2 linked regions of the Arabidopsis thaliana genome follow. The protein of the gene in region 1 interacts with the protein of each later gene in a pairwise test. Each region holds a gene or a part of one and is shown on either strand. Other genes may lie near its edges.

Evidence for each region. The genes of interacting proteins can lie anywhere in the genome.
Region 2: the proteins of TGA3 (region 1) and AT5G11010 interact in binary tests that used the Arabidopsis thaliana proteins (3 or more experiments, as listed by UniProt).

The regions. Positions count from the first base shown.
Region 1 is NC_003070.9:7,785,417-7,793,648, reverse strand, and holds TGA3 (transcription factor TGA3), read right to left. Parts: upstream 4,517-8,232; 5' UTR 3,999-4,516; coding exon 3,993-3,998; intron 3,661-3,992; coding exon 3,460-3,660; intron 3,374-3,459; coding exon 3,287-3,373; intron 3,152-3,286; coding exon 3,092-3,151; intron 3,017-3,091; coding exon 2,939-3,016; intron 2,853-2,938; coding exon 2,789-2,852; intron 2,689-2,788; coding exon 2,417-2,688; intron 2,341-2,416; coding exon 2,107-2,340; intron 1,981-2,106; coding exon 1,828-1,980; 3' UTR 1,510-1,827; downstream 1-1,509. Other genes in the region: AT1G22080 (Cysteine proteinases superfamily protein), read left to right, coding at 1-260, 337-424, 672-859, 934-1,021, 1,237-1,245; AT1G22065 (uncharacterized protein), read right to left, coding at 7,542-7,760.
Region 2 is NC_003076.8:3,480,467-3,488,554, reverse strand, and holds AT5G11010 (Pre-mRNA cleavage complex II protein family), read right to left. Parts: upstream 4,924-8,088; 5' UTR 4,692-4,923; exon of another isoform or gene 4,402-4,691; 5' UTR 4,380-4,401; coding exon 4,213-4,379; intron 3,956-4,212; coding exon 3,858-3,955; intron 3,746-3,857; coding exon 3,706-3,745; intron 3,626-3,705; coding exon 3,468-3,625; intron 3,388-3,467; coding exon 3,204-3,387; intron 3,116-3,203; coding exon 2,938-3,115; intron 2,856-2,937; coding exon 2,756-2,855; coding exon of another isoform or gene 2,724-2,755; exon of another isoform or gene 2,670-2,723; coding exon 2,488-2,669; 3' UTR 2,288-2,487; downstream 1-2,287. Other genes in the region: AT5G11020 (Protein kinase superfamily protein), read left to right, coding at 176-331, 449-705, 788-920, 1,004-1,067, 1,160-1,256, 1,347-1,446, 1,574-1,692, 1,781-1,870 and 1 more. UniProt on the Arabidopsis thaliana protein: Polynucleotide 5'-kinase involved in rRNA processing.

The DNA.
Region 1 (8,232 bases):
GAACAGGTGGCGTTGTGCAAGCTGAGCAACGGCCCAAAAATTGGTGTTGGTGGGTATGTATGGGTTTCCCTGGAAGTGATGTACATGGTGGTTGGTGCTCAGGATAATGATAAAGATATGCTTCGGCCCTCCTCAACACCACGCCATCTTCTTTCGGATTTTAATTGCCCACTAATGGATGAAGCTCCAAGGGCAAACCTTAAGAGGAAACAGGAGCAACAAGATGAACCAAAAAGATCTAAAAAGCGTCGTCGTCAAAGGTAAATTGATCAGACTGTCACAGAGTTGAACAATGCTCAGTGTTGCGACTCTTTCATTGCTGTGTTTTGGTTGCAGAGTGGCGCGCAGCAGTTCTAAATTGCACTCTAACCTAGATGATGATGACGTCGCAAGTCTTCATGGCCAAGTCAGGCAGTTGATAAATGTAAGATGACAGATTTCTGAAGCTTCTGGCTCTCTATCTTTTAACATTAATTTCATCTTATGAATTAGGAAATCTGTCATACCTGAGGAGTTGTTACTGTCCTCAAACTCTGTATCACTAGCTGTCCTCATGTAGTTCCTGACTCTTGATGTTTTACAGGAATCAAATGACTTCTGGTTTAAGCTAGTTGTCATTTTTGTTTTACTGGAACTTTGGCTTTGTCGTATGGTTTTATCTTCTTTTGCAGACAAGAGATACAAATAGTCATGATCAAGAAGCATCTCATGAAGACGATAAACCTGCTGTTGTAACTTCAGATAATTTGCCAATCTCTACAGAAGAATGCTCGCAACTAAGCTTTGGATCAAGCCCTTTGAGCAACAACGCAGGAGAGACCTCTGATGTAGCTTCAAAGATGGAACATTCAGATGCTAGGTATTCTGTTACTAGTGATTTCTTTTCCCAAACTATTTATACCATACTTACCAACTGATCATGCTTGCTTGCAGAAGTACCGACTTCTATGGACACTCTATGGGCTCAAGTAATAGCCACAATGCCTTATCACTTGGTGGCCCAAGCAGTTCCATGCCAGAGGTAAATAATCCTTTCTCTTTAAGAAGCACGAGACTGTAATATTTCATCCTCCTAGCTTGTATTTTGTAACAAGGAAGTAGTAGTAAACCGGGTCATGGATACTTTCTTGTTTACATGAAGTACTCTGCTGCCTTTTCCATATGAGTCTTGTGTTCTTCACATTTGGAAGTTGATTTCTTGGTCTATTCTTATGTCTTTTTACTTCTTTTTTCCAGGATGGCTAGTGAAGAAGATTTGAATTTTACAGGAGAGATAAAGAAAGAAAGAGAACTAACCCTTTTTACCCCATTTGTATCACAAAAGGGAAGAAACATGTGTTACCTTTAACTCTTGTCTTTATCTTTCCTCGGTGTGGGCTTTTTTGGCTGAGACCCGTAGGATATTCATTTTAGGCACAATTTGAATGAAGGGAATGATCAAACTCTCTATGAATCTATTTGAATTTATTGTTTGTCTATTGACCAATTTATACCAACAACAAATATAAGCTAAGAACTGTTGGAATAACAATATAGACAAAAAATTTGATTGTGGGCTCAAATTTTCATATACGAGGAGATGAGTGACAACAAACCCTATATATTTTACAAATAAAGAGCCTAATGCATCAAAGACATTACATGTTTTCCACCCAAATTTACACATCTCTTATTCCTTTCAAGTAAACAAAATCATCAATGAGGAAGATGATGCTCTCTAATGGAGAAAATATCAGCCAACACTTTCTGAGAGATAAAGCAAGTCCCTATAGCTAACATCATCTGCCTTGTGCTTCTTTCTCTTTGTTTTGTTTGCCTCCTAACTTGTCAAGTGTGTTCTCGTGGACGAGCTGCCCAGAGAGAACTAAGAGCACGCAGCCTGTGGAAGTATTCTCCTAGAGCGAGCAACCCTCGAGCAGCCTGTCTTGTCGTCAATATCTTACTCATTTGCTGCAGGGTCTGTTGTCTCAGATGATCCGCCTGTTCCAATATTGTCAGAGATTTTGTTTGTGAAATCCATGCTCACAAAGTTTCTAATCAAAAATGAAAATAAACTTTGGATTCATGGAGACTGCAAAAGCACAAAGCAAATACACTTAGCGTTACCTGGTTCACAAAACTCTCCAATGCTTGAAGATTCTCCATGGCTGAAGCCATTGGAGCCCCGTGATTCACAGACTCAACAACTTTTATCTGAATTGCTATGCTTTCGACCAAACCCTGCTGAAGTTTATCTAAGCCTTGAGAGAGAGCCTCCTCTGCTTGCTGAGACGACTGTTGCAGGTTACGCACCTCCAACAGTTGCTGATCGGTTAAGGGCTCAACGTATGGCATCACAACCTAGACAACAAAAAAGGTTGAGCATTTTTTCTCAAGAGTAGAAAGAGAAACGTGTAAAAGTAAAAAAGAAGTTTACATTTAAAAGCTCGGATGGGCGGAAACCTCCAATCCATTGGAAGAAGCGTTCAGTTGAAGTTCGCCACATTCCCGACATCAAGAAGAACACATCAGCCTTTGCAGCATCAGCTTTCATGCGGAAGAGATTTGCGTAGTGGTTCAAGCAACTATCTACCAACATTTTGAGCTCAATGTCACCTATATGAGCTTGGAGCGCTGTTCGAATCTCACTAACTCTCCTGTTTTGCTCTTCTAGCCAGTGTGTGTATTCCATCTCAAATGCAGCAATACCTGAAAATGGTTATTATTGGGAAAATTACTTCTTTATCTACTGAGGATTAAGAGATAAAGCAATGCTAACATATGCTTATTTAGTGATATAAACACCAACCTGAGTTCATATTCCCAGCTGGTCCTAGATAACTAGTATCTGAAGAATTGCGTACGCATAATCCCTAATACAAACCAGAAGAATCACTGAGTCAGAATGAATCAGATAAAGTTTGATGAACACACAACAAATAAACAAGCTTGAGCTAACCTGCTGCCTAGCTCTTACAAGTTCCTGCTCGAGCTGTGACAACTTCAACCGGCTTTCTTCTAACTGTTGAACATGGGCCTACAAGCACAGACACAACTTTGCATAAGCTTTCCTTTTTATCATTAACACAAGAAAAAATCCCACCAAGGTTACCTTCTTTCTCAAACGACTTTTGCGAGCAGCTTCTCGGTTCTGAGCCAAACGCCGTTTCATCTGTTCATAGAGAAGGAACAACAATTCATGTCATCACGCCGTGTCTCTTCCTCTAAAGATTAAAATGGAGAAGGAGGAGTTTATGAAGTCTTCGAAGCAAAAGGTATAAGTAGCCTTAAAATGCTAAAGCCTTACCTTATCATTGATCCGGTCTTCGTCCTGATCATTATTACTCGACGGTTCTGCTTCAAGAGAGTTATTATACACAGAAGTATAATTCACCTGCAACATAATTAACCATCAATCACCAAACAAACAACACTTATAAATCATTCTAAAGCATGATCCAGGAATAAACAATAACTCACTCTATTGTTATCATCTGCTTCTGGTCTAGCATCAACCTCAAGTGTTGTTGAAGAACTCTGATTGTTATTCTGATTACTAGTAATATTGTTGATATCTGATTTGAAAGGACTCTCCCAACCAGATAACTGTTGAAATGGTTCATACATCCCCATGTCTCTGAATGATACAACTTGAGTAGTAGAAGAAGAAGAGCTCATCATCTGTAAATCAACAATTTACAGACTCAAGCTTATTGAATTCAAGAAACAGATTCTCTAGCTCAGCTTTCAATAGATATATAGATCCAGTCCATATCTCTAAAATTGCATTGCTTACTAACACACACAATAAACAAGTAGTTATAGTTTCAGTTTTAGCAATAAAGGTTGAAACTTTAGAAAACCCAGCTCTCCAAAACAGAGCCTTTTGAAGAAACATAGCCAAATAGAGTAATACCCATGAAACTAGAAAGTTGCAACAACTAAAAACCAAAATTGGAAAATTTAAGGACTTCACAAAGCAAGAAAAGATAACATGAGAAACAAAAACCAACCTCCATTGATAAGCAGAGAAGAAATTCATGAGGAGCTCGAGAGATGAAGAATGAATCTTGGCATTCTAAAAGGAATATTCCGATCAAACGGTGACCACAAGAGAGAAGAGAGAAATGAAGAAAAACTTTGGTCAAAACTTAGAGGTGAAGCGTACCCATCATTGAAAAAAAAAAGCAGAGATATTTATTTTTTTATACATATATTTTGTGTTGTTGCTTTTTTTTTTTTCCTCATGGCTTTGATTAGTCCATGAGCGTAGAATAATAAGCAAGTTGAAGTAAACGAACGATGAAACGACAAAAGCATCACCACCGGGAGAAAAACAAATCGAGAGAGATGATAAAAAAGGTTGAGTCTTTTCCTCTATTCCAAAAGTTGACCTTATCGTGCGCCTCTGTTTCTAAACTACACCTTTTGATGACCTGGATTCTTCATCGTCGGCCGACACGTCAGATGCTTGAGGGGAATATTCCGGTAATTTTTATTTTTTAACATAGAGAATCTGAATCTCATATATATAAGATGTGATTTGTTTATGATTTTGTTAGAAAAAAACATACAATATCATATATCAAAACTTAATAGTCGACTTATGATTCACATTATAAAAAGTTGATATATAATATATATATATATATATAGTTTTTAAATTAAAATAGTTATAGTAATGATTTGATCTGAAAATGGATAATTGATATTTGTACCACGAGATTACTACCGATTGGTTAAATATATTTTTTAGTAACGATTTTAAATATAGCTGATAATTTATTTGTATAAATATTTGAATAACTGTGAATTATTTGTTATTCAGAAATTGAATAAACTTTTCCAAGAAATTAGGTCGCATTTTGTGGGACAAGAGTGGAAGATTAATACTTTTAATCAATTTATTAATTTTTATTCGCTTTATTTGGAGGGTCTCAGTGCTATGCAGTGGCATCTTTTAACTTAAGTACTCCTCCTTAGCTTAGTGAGTAATAATTGGGCCTCTAGTGACCTACCCAACTCTAAGAAAATGATTAATTTTGTTATCTTTTTCTTCTTTTGCCTAATACAATATTGATTCTTTAGTTAGTTTGGTGCCACTTGTCTGATAAAATCTGCGTTTCGACAGAGACAAATACGTAAAATAAGTGGGGCTTTTGGTTTGGCTTTAATAAAGATTTCATATACTATAGTTTTCAATCTTTATAAATATGATTCAAAACGTATTGATCAATGACATGCAAAAGGATAAATACCGAAACTAAAATGAATCATTTTGATTTTCTTAAATCTATTAAGTTTTTGTCTTTTTGACGCAACAGCGCAGAAAGGCCTAAAGAGGAAAAGTTGGGCTTAGAGTAAAGCCCATAAAATTTGTCGAATATTCAACACATGGCAAGTGCACGTGAGAAAAAATCTACAGAAGTCTCTGTGCCGCTTTTTAAGGCTTCTCGCCTTGTACAACTTTTTTTTTTTAAAAATGCGCAAGTTTCTTTTCTGTAACGTCACATATTATTTTCGTTAACCCTAATAATTTTGGTGTTTTCTTTATTTTGTTATATAACATGTATAGATTTTAGACCTAAACTTTACCACTTAAAAGAGTGTCTACAATGATAAAAATAATAGATCATAATAAGTTATTTAACTTTAATAATCTAGATGATAGAATTCAATCTTAAGTCTAAAATTTCGTAATAAACCTTTAAATTTTAATACACGATATATTATAATATATTATTATATATTATAATATATTATTATATATACACCCAAAACCGGCTCAATAGAACTGGAATTTTGGTACAAATTTTAAAAATTAGTCTTTTTCAGTATTAATTTTGTTTATACACAATCATTTACTTACATATATATAAACAATAAAATAATATATATATATATATATATATATATATTTATATAAGATAAAAGGATATATAAAAATTTAGACCCTTTAACAACATAATTACAAAAAAATAAGAGTATTTAGGATAAATTGTTTTTTATTAACTTTTTAGCAAGGAAAAACAATTCAATAATTTATATTCTTCATGCATCATATATTTTATGATCGACTGAACAATATCACCATCAACCACTACATGGTTGCAACCAAAGAGGGAGCAACCATGTAGCATTCGACTACCAACAAACAATATCACCATCAACCACCACTACATGGTTGGAACCAAAGAAGGAGTAACCATGTAGCAAACCAACAGTATCACTATCAATCACTACATGGTTGCAACCAAAAAAATAATAACCATATAACATTCGACTACCAACCAACCAACAATATCACCATTAATCATTACATGGTTGCAACAAAAAAAAAGAACAACCATGTAGTATTTTGCCATCAAATAAAAAGACTTTTCACGAATTGTTAATAAAATATATTATATTTATTTTAGACTTGCAAAAGATATCAGTCACTAATTGAAAATAATCATTTTCGCATACAAGAATGTCATTCTTCTTACTTCTTTGCATGCATCAACTTGTCAACTTCATTCAACTATATCCTAAATTGTTTGAATCTACAAAATATATTTTCAATTATTAAAAATAATTAAAATTACGCCAACATTACAAAATATTTGACAATAATTAGGCTCTTAGAAAAATTTATTAGAGGAAAACAAAATCTATAAAATCCTGACGATTTCACGTTTCATAATGAAGATTTCAAAATATTATTTTGTACACCACTAGTACGTTTGATTTTTTGAACAGGAGGTCGCATATTGGTCGCCACATATACTATAATGTTTTGGCCATTTTGATTAGTTAATTAGGAAATATATTAACGGCGTTATATATTTAATTTGGTACTAGTTTTACCATTTACTTGCTTTTTAGTTTTTATAAAAATCTATTTTACTATATAAATCTAGTAGATTAGCCGAACATTCTTCTTGTAAACTATTAAACGGCCGTTCATTGATTTAAAAACCTGGTACTAGATTCAATAATTTACATTTAACAAACAATTATGATACTCGTCTGAAAAGATGTATGAGTTTAGGGCCAGATACTCTTAGTTATTTAAAAAATGTATTTCTAAATAATCTAATTTGTCCATCACATTTGGCTATTCCAATTTGCATCAAATTCTGATGTCACCCATATAGATAGATTAGATACTATACTTATCTATACTTAATTCAGATAGTTGCGTGACCCTCTGGATTTGCCACGGGAAGGAGAGATGCTGGTCTGAGAATAAATTGGCATATATTGTAACTCCAGCCCTTAAATTCCTTATTTATGTGTGTTTGGTCCTAATTAAACTTATTATGCTTAAAAATAACTCATCATGAGTTCATGACTATATAATCGTTACATATGTAGCAGGGATTTAGAAACTCTTATAGCTTTATAAAACATCCAATCTAAATACTTGCTTAAAACCCAAAGAAAAAAAAAAATCATAAAATAAATTCAAACGATAAACACTACATATTAAACATAAAGCAAACAAAAAGGGCAAAAGAAAATTCTAACGTTTTTATTCATTATAATTATTTGATTAATTTTGGACGCGCCATTATAGCTTATTCTGTAATCATAAGATCACAAACTTTAGCAGAGTTTTTCTTGGTGCTCAGCTTTCCAAAGAACCATCGACCAGATCCTCCACCGTTCTCTTCGATTCCACCAGCGGTTGTGGCCGCGGTTGCCGTTATACTCTTCATGTTCTCTCTATGAAACTTCCTCATCGTGTAAACCTCCGCTATAGCCATCCCTCCTAGTCCCGATCCGTCTAGTGACATGTTATCAAAAAGTTTACAGGAGAAAAATATGATGGTAATTATGAAAAGAGATGCAAATAGAGACAATAGGTGGTAAAATGTAAAAAGAAGTTGGTGAAAGGTGAGTGTGGTTTGGAAATTTAAGAGTGAGGGATTGGGATGAATATATAGATCAAATTTGTGGGTCCATTTTAGTTGAATTTATTTTCTCTGTTTCCCACTTATTATACGTACATTGTTTTGACAGCTATTATATGTACACAAATAGTGGGAATCTAAAATAATTATTAAAAAAAAAATCTAATGTTATTGTTGCTTTAGTTCCAAGTGTTTCTATCGTCAGAGATACAATGAAAAACAGTTTGGGTTACTCTATTATCGAAGCGAAAAGAGGTTACATCGTCCTTTGTTGCGTAGTTGGCGATGAATTCAGCAAAACAGATTTTAGAATCGAAGACTTTAAATCGTTCATTGTTTTCTTTTAAAGGTAAGA
Region 2 (8,088 bases), on another chromosome or scaffold:
GTAAAGTTCCAACCTTTCACTCACATTTTCGATTTGTTTTTAAGAAAAAGAGACCATTTTCCTTCGTAAAATTCAATGTAATTATTTCTTGAATCTGAATTTGTTTTGGAGGTCGGCCAAATTTTCTTGAACCTGAAACGATAGGAAAAGCTAATGCTTTTGGTTGATTGTTCAGATTATCAACAGAGAGAGAAGGAATTGCATAAACAAGAGAGTAACAACATGAGACTGGTTATTTCACTAGCAGCTACATTTTCCTTAGTTGGTATAATCTTACTTTGCTCTCTGCTTTATTGGTTTTGCCATAGGAGAAGAAACCTCAAGAGCTCAGGTAAATTCTCTTAGTCACATCTCGTTTTCACGTTTTTATGGCCTTAATCTTGAAATTCATGATGAATTCGATAAAGCTGAGAAAGTGACTCTCAATGTGTCAATTTGGGTTTTGAAGGTTGTGGGTGTAGTGGAATCACATTCTTGAATCGGTTTAGTCGCTCAAAAACATTAGACAAGAGAACTACAAAGCAGGGAACAGTGTCATTGATCGATTACAATATACTAGAAGAAGGAACTAGTGGTTTCAAGGAGAGTAACATTTTGGGTCAAGGTGGATTTGGATGTGTATATTCTGCCACATTAGAGAACAACATTTCAGCTGCGGTTAAGAAGCTAGACTGTGCCAATGAAGATGCAGCAAAGGAATTTAAGGTGCTATACCAATCTTTCTTTTTATGATAACTCTTCCATGTTTTCATCTTCCTGAGTTTGTTATATTCTCTGGGGTTTGCAGAGTGAGGTTGAGATATTGAGTAAGCTCCAGCACCCGAATATAATATCCCTTTTGGGTTATAGCACGAATGATACTGCGAGATTCATTGTCTATGAGCTGATGCCAAACGTTTCTCTGGAATCTCATTTACACGGTACATAAACCTATTTACATATTCTTGTAAAAGTTGTGAACATGAGAGAAACTGAAACTTTTTGTTCAACTACTTGTTCTCAGGATCTTCTCAGGGTTCGGCGATCACATGGCCTATGAGGATGAAGATTGCTCTTGATGTAACAAGGTGAGCCTGTGACTTTTTCGTGTTTCAACTTGCAATAATTCACAATCTAGAGGACTAAAACAACTACTATTTTTGTGTTTGTTTCAAATTAGGGGATTAGAATATTTGCATGAACATTGTCATCCAGCAATCATTCACAGGGACTTGAAATCATCCAACATCTTATTAGATAGCAATTTCAATGCTAAGGTAAACAAATCAGTGATTAAAGTCATAATGTTTCAATATCATATTCCTTTGTTTTTTTTGTCTAAAGCTCTAGCTTTCTATGAAATGTAGATTTCAGATTTTGGTCTAGCTGTTGTTGATGGGCCAAAGAACAAGAACCATAAACTTTCCGGGACAGTTGGCTACGTTGCACCAGAGTATCTTCTCAACGGTAACACCCTGAAATAACAATCTGTCAAGTCTTACTTTAAAAAAAAATCATCCTTAAAGAAACTTGTTGTGTTTTTATGAGAAGCATTTCTTACTCATCACCATACTGCATGTGTTTGGTTCTATAGGCCAATTGACAGAAAAGAGCGACGTGTATGCTTTTGGAGTAGTGTTATTAGAGCTTTTACTCGGGAAAAAACCTGTGGAGAAACTAGCTCCCGGTGAATGCCAATCCATCATCACTTGGGTACATATATAATAAACTCATACTTATGTTTCTCTAAAACTCTTAGACTTGGAACCAACTTTGAATTGTGTTTTTTTATTCTTCTCAGGCAATGCCTTATCTCACTGATAGAACCAAGTTACCAAGCGTCATAGATCCTGCGATTAAAGATACGATGGACTTGAAACACCTTTACCAGGTACGTTTGAGAAGGATTTAGTTGATTGTGCAAAGTATATAGTTGGTTTTGATGAGATAGTATCAAGAGTTTTGATGCGAGCATGTGAATGTGTAGGTAGCGGCAGTGGCGATTTTGTGCGTGCAGCCAGAACCGAGTTATAGACCGTTGATTACAGACGTCTTGCATTCTCTTATACCTTTGGTTCCAATGGAACTTGGTGGAACCTTAAAAACCATCAAATGTGCTTCAATGGATCACTGTTAAACACCATAGAAAACCGGTGTTTTTTTTTATAGAAATTCGGTTTAATATTGACCGGTAGGTGGTTTTGATGTGTATATTGGGTTAGAAGTTGTAACCGGAACATTACAGTATCCTTTTGAAATGCTTACTTGCGCACTGTTGATGAACTCTTTTCTCATGTGATTTCTATTTACGAAAACAAATGAAAATTATTATAAGTTGTAAATGGTGACATTAGTAGTAGGTGTGGACAAGACACATAACTAACTGCGTCTCCAAGATGATCTAACCCTGGTTGCATAGTAAGTTGAACTATAAAAAAACATGAAACTTTGTAGATAAACTGACACATAGTAAAAACGAAGAACTGAGCAAAAATGTCTTAAAAGAAATCAGGTGGAAGCTAAGACGTTGGCAGATAAATATGGCGACCTGTAATCCTTCACCTCTAAGAGGCAAGTAGGTAACTGAATATAGCCTTGCAATAGAAGATCAACTTTCTCAACTAAGTTTTCTGGTACTGGAGTGATCACATATAATATTCCTCTCTCTGTGTCAATACCCCTCACGATTCCTACATTCAACATCCAAAACCAACTTCAATACATAATCATAAACCCATGTTCGATCACTGATTGCAATGGATAAATAGAAACTTACCAAGACCTACGCATGATGGCAAATCCTCAAACACCTCGGTGCTAATGCCCAAACCAACAATGGAAGCATTCAAACTATAATACACTTCAGAACTTGGGATCTAAAAAGAAGAGAACCCCATTATTGGCATCATCAATCATATGGATTAGAAAGATATGACCTTTATACTGTTTTCTTTTTACCTGACAATGGAGATGGTTGATTGTTAAACTCGATATTGGAACTTCATAAGGAATATGGGAAGCGAGTTCATGTGTTAGTTCTTTGATCGTGTTTACTTCTTTTCCTTTAAAGCATTGCCTAAAGTAGGCGATTATACGCATGTCCCTCATCAAACGAGCATCCTTATGTATTAAAATGCTGTACAAACAGGATACAAAAACTTGTAACTACTCGAACAAAGCGTATCGGTGAGATTATTCGATAACTAGCATTGTACAGGACTTACGATTGATTATATCTGTCTTGGTAAGCAGATTGGATCTCTATCAAATGAGCTGTCTCATCATCATTACCGTCTAACCAGAACAACCCAGCTGGTAGGTTCTTGTTGTAAGCAGAGATGTTAATTTTCACAACGTGGGAAGGGGAAACATATCTCAGCACGTCCACCAATAACTCATAGCCAATTCCTAAAGGTTGTGAATCATTTCTATTAGTGAAAGAAAAAATCTGTTCCTTTTGTTTTGAAAGGATAAAGAGAGTGAGTTACCTTTAACCCATCCTGGTGTATTAATGACAAGCGGCAATTCAGTTTTGTTCTCGCTAGACTTGCAGAAGTGTAGCTGATAGTAATCGAATAAGGTATATACATATCTTAAATATGCCTTTGGATCCCTCTTTGAAGAAACATCACCATAGAAGAAGCATCTGAATCATCAAACAAAAGAGAAAGGGGAATAAGTCGCTTAAATTCTTAACATCACAAAATTTGCTTGATCCAAACTAACCTCTCTGGTGTCTTTACACATGGAACTGTCCAATCCGATTCTACAAAGTAGAAAATATAACCAGAAACATAAGTGACTGAAACAGCATTATGAAAACAAGTTTTCGGAATGCAAACAACAAGAATCGTGAAAGCAATAAGTATGAGGGTTACCTAGAATTGATTTATCAACAATTGTGAGAGAAAGGAAACCAGGTGCAGTAAATTCAGGCTGGCCAACATCAGTATCCAAATAAGCAACCCTTTTGTATCTGTAAGAACCACAAAGGTCAATTGTCAGCAAAACTTATCGAAACAAAGCAACCATCATAAGCCACTTAAGAAAATTGCATCCATTCAAACTAAATCTGGTTCCATTCAAATTATAAGAAGTAGAAGGTCAAGACAGTTTTCCCCTGATCGGAAAAAAAAAAAAAAAAAAAAAAGACAGTTTTCCCCAATAATCAGACTCACGAACACTCATTAAAAGACCGGGAACAATAAAGAGAGGCTAACGGAAAGTAATAACCTTTGGAGAAGAACTTCAACAAGATTGCGTGAAAATGTGCTTTTGCCACTGTTTTTAGGGCCACAGACCAAAGCTATAACCGGTTGCAACGAACTGCAGGAAACAGAACTTGCTGCATTTGACCATTCCTCTGGTATGAAAGGCAATTTATTTTCTGCTTCAGACATTGCAGCCACACCTTATCTTTCTCTGAGAGAAATCATGTAAAAGAGTTCAATAAAAGACCATTTTATAAACAACCAACAAGTTCTTAACTGTGTTTTAACAAGGGTTTAAGCTAATGTACATAACAAAGAACAAAATTCATCTTTTTCTACCTAAAACACGAGTATTAGAGACTCTGCTCAAATTTGATGTATCTAAGCTCGATTCTACTAACCTAAAACATCACATCAAGCTCGATATGCCCCGATTAATCTAGGTAAAGTCTCTACGAGGTAAGACATCGTAATAGAGAATGAAGCTCAACGTAAACATACTTGTTAAATAACACGGAAAATGACGAAACTAGAAAACGGTCGGAAGAAAAAACTATAACCGGCGATTTTTGAGTCGTCGACCAGAGGAGAAGGTATCGAGCCGTCGGAGAAGCAGAGGGAACGATGAAAATTTAGGGATTTTAGTTTCTCCTAGTGCTTTCGAAACCGAACCGGAACTTAAACCACAATTAATAGAATTCGTTTCAAATAAAAACCGGTATGGTTAAACCCAGAACAAAGTGTTAGCGAACCGGAAAAAAAATAGGAATTACTCGAGAACGACCTTGTCTAATGTGTCTATTCGAATGTGGATCAAAATTTAAGATTATGTACCTAGAAAGTTTGAACATAAACCAAAAAACGAGTGAATGAGTTCGAACTGGGAGCTATGTCCGCTAGAAGAAACGACAGCCAGTGTAGCAGTGGCAATGGCAGAAGTAGAACTGCGTACGGAAGACTACTAGTCTAATCCTCCTTTCAGGAGTGCATACACAAGTGAAACCTATGAACACGTGGTTTGAGTTCCACTTACACAAGAAAAGGCTTAGAACAACCAACTAAAATTAAATCAATCATGAGCTTCTATATAGGTAATACTCATTAGTCATTAGACTCAGTTCAATTGGGCTTAATAATCAAAATAAGAATATCAAGTTGGATTGTCAAAAGATTAGTATCAAACAATACACATGCAAACGTAAGAGTGACAACTCTAGAGCCATTGTTTATAAGATTTAATTTGGTACCTAGCTCCTCATCTCCAGCAAATTTTGTACGTAATATTATTTCGTTAAAATAATGAACTTGGAGACATGAACCTGCTCTTTCCCACCAATCATATATATATATTTCGAGATCTCAATTACTTCGTAGCAGCTAATATTCCGCCGATGAATTCATTATTAACCATATATTTTCAAAATGCATATATAATATATACTTTATTTTTTTTCGTCATATAATATACACTTTTCTGAAATACAAATAAATTCAAAGTTTTTCACAAGTTAGTGAAAACCCCCACATGGAACAACATTGTTTGTATTAACATATATTTGTTGTGTCCTTATAATTATCTTCACAATTTATTTGCCCATTACAAGGTTCTCGGATCTGATGATTAACTGGTAAATACATAAATTACTATTTCTCCTAAAGTAAAACAGCTATTAGTACCAAGATATGAAATCAGAGGTTGTAAAAAAACAATTAAATCTTTAGCAGTAGCATGTAGAATTTATCTCTACACAGTTTTTTTTCTTTCTTTTACACACAGCCTATATTTCTACTTTTTGGTTACCTTCTTAATAGGATTTTTGTGAGCGGCCAAATTATTGTCATTCTGGTAGAAGATTATACCAATCATACACACAGTTTCACCAAATCAATTATATAAAAAAAACTGCCGTTTAGTCAAAAGATATTAATGAAGTTGAAGTAGGTGCTCAAAGAAAAGAAAGGTATTTGAAAAGTTGAAAAGAGAATCTAAGAAGTGGACAGACAGTATAAGAAAATGAAGGTCGACGAGACTCGAGAGAGGAGGGGTTATTAAGTTGAATTACTAAAAGCGTGTTGTCGTTTCAATCTGACCTGGTCTTAGTCTTCCACATGAGAAAATTCAGTCAACCATTGCTCTCAAAATCGTTTCGTTTTTCTTATAATTTCATTAAACAAAATCAAGTATACATACTCTCTTAACCACCATTTCTTCAAAATTAACTTTAGATAACTTTATGTTCTATATATATATATACTTTCTTTCTTCTTGTTAAAGTATTGTCCAGACTAAGTTTGGAAGTACGAGTTTTTGTCAATAAATGAAACAAATATCCTCCTTTGATTTGAAAGTACTCGAAAAGATAGGAGACAGAGTAATTTTGAAGCAAACCATATTGCTAGCTACAAGTAAGTGTAATTATTACATGAAATTGTTTATTGCTATCAAAGATCTCACTTGTACAATCAAAAAACATGTGGATATGATCCAAAGATTATGGCATGGGATGAGACAACAAGGACTCTTTTTGCATTAGCTATACCAACTTACTCGGGAGAACATTGTTTTAGTAATATGATTTTTTTATTAAGTTCAAAATTATGCTGATTTTAGATCGGGAAAGAATTATTTTTACTGTCTTCTTTTTTACCGTCAAAAATAATATTTTAGTCTTATTAAAACGATAATTGCCAATTGAATTCACAATTTACTCATGGCTAACAAAATTATTTTCACCCAAATTTTAACGGCAAAAAAAGTTAAACAATGTTAAAATGATAAATTGGGAACTTGCTAAACTTAAACTTGTGATTACTTAAGTGTTTAAGAATATTATATCATAATACATGTTCGAATAAGTTAAATGTTTGGTGTATAAACCATAGCTTATAAATTTTGAATGGGTTGTTATACACGTAGCTAACTATATAAATAATGAAAAAACAGTTTACCTGTCTTACAGTTTTAATTTCTTGAACCTAAAGATTCAAAACCCACCTTGATTTATAGTATAAGAAAATACAGATCTAACAAAAATATCAAATTAATTAATAATACGGATATGACTCAATAAGTACTTATCCACCTCCTTTTAGCTGTCTGCCAACGTATCCGAATAACTCAAGAAATCAATAAAATATAACTTATGAAAACATAATTAAATAAACCGAAAAGTTCAAATCATATTAATTCGACCGAACCAATTACTATTAATTTGTCTTTTTTTTCAGGCAGCACAAGGGATACATTTTTCAATTGTCACACTAATTATAGTATCAGATTATAATTCACACTAATTATAGTATTTTTGTTTTTTAACTGTCCATTAGGCGTTAAAATAACAAATAGTTGGTGTGTGTTACTATAAATGTAATTTTTATTACTACATGTAGACTATCAATGGGTATGTCAAAAGCTAAAACTATTCCTACATGTGTTACTATAAATGTAATTAATGGGTGTGTATTAATTCTAAATCCATTATATAATGTGACAAAAAAAAAAGGTTGTATAATGTGAAATAATTGACCCAACTTATACCAATTGATTATGTTCTCCAATAAACCTTCAAGTGTGCAGGCTTGTTAATCATAACGTGTTCCTCATACTCGAACAGTTAATAACGCCTTTTTACTGTTAACCCTGAATATCTCGTAATATTCAACCTAATGTGAATAGTTCTTGTTTAAATCCATCCTCCATATATAAGAAGAAAGTCAAGTTGAAAAAGTCAGATTTTATGCCCAAGTTTACAAGTTGCAAGCCCACAAGATCAAAATTTTCGCATAATTATAATCTCATATCGCTATCAATCCTCATCCACATTCTTGTTTTACGTATGATTCGAGCCAATCATTATTATAACCTTTCCATTTTCTGAAAATTTAACAATCTTTTTAT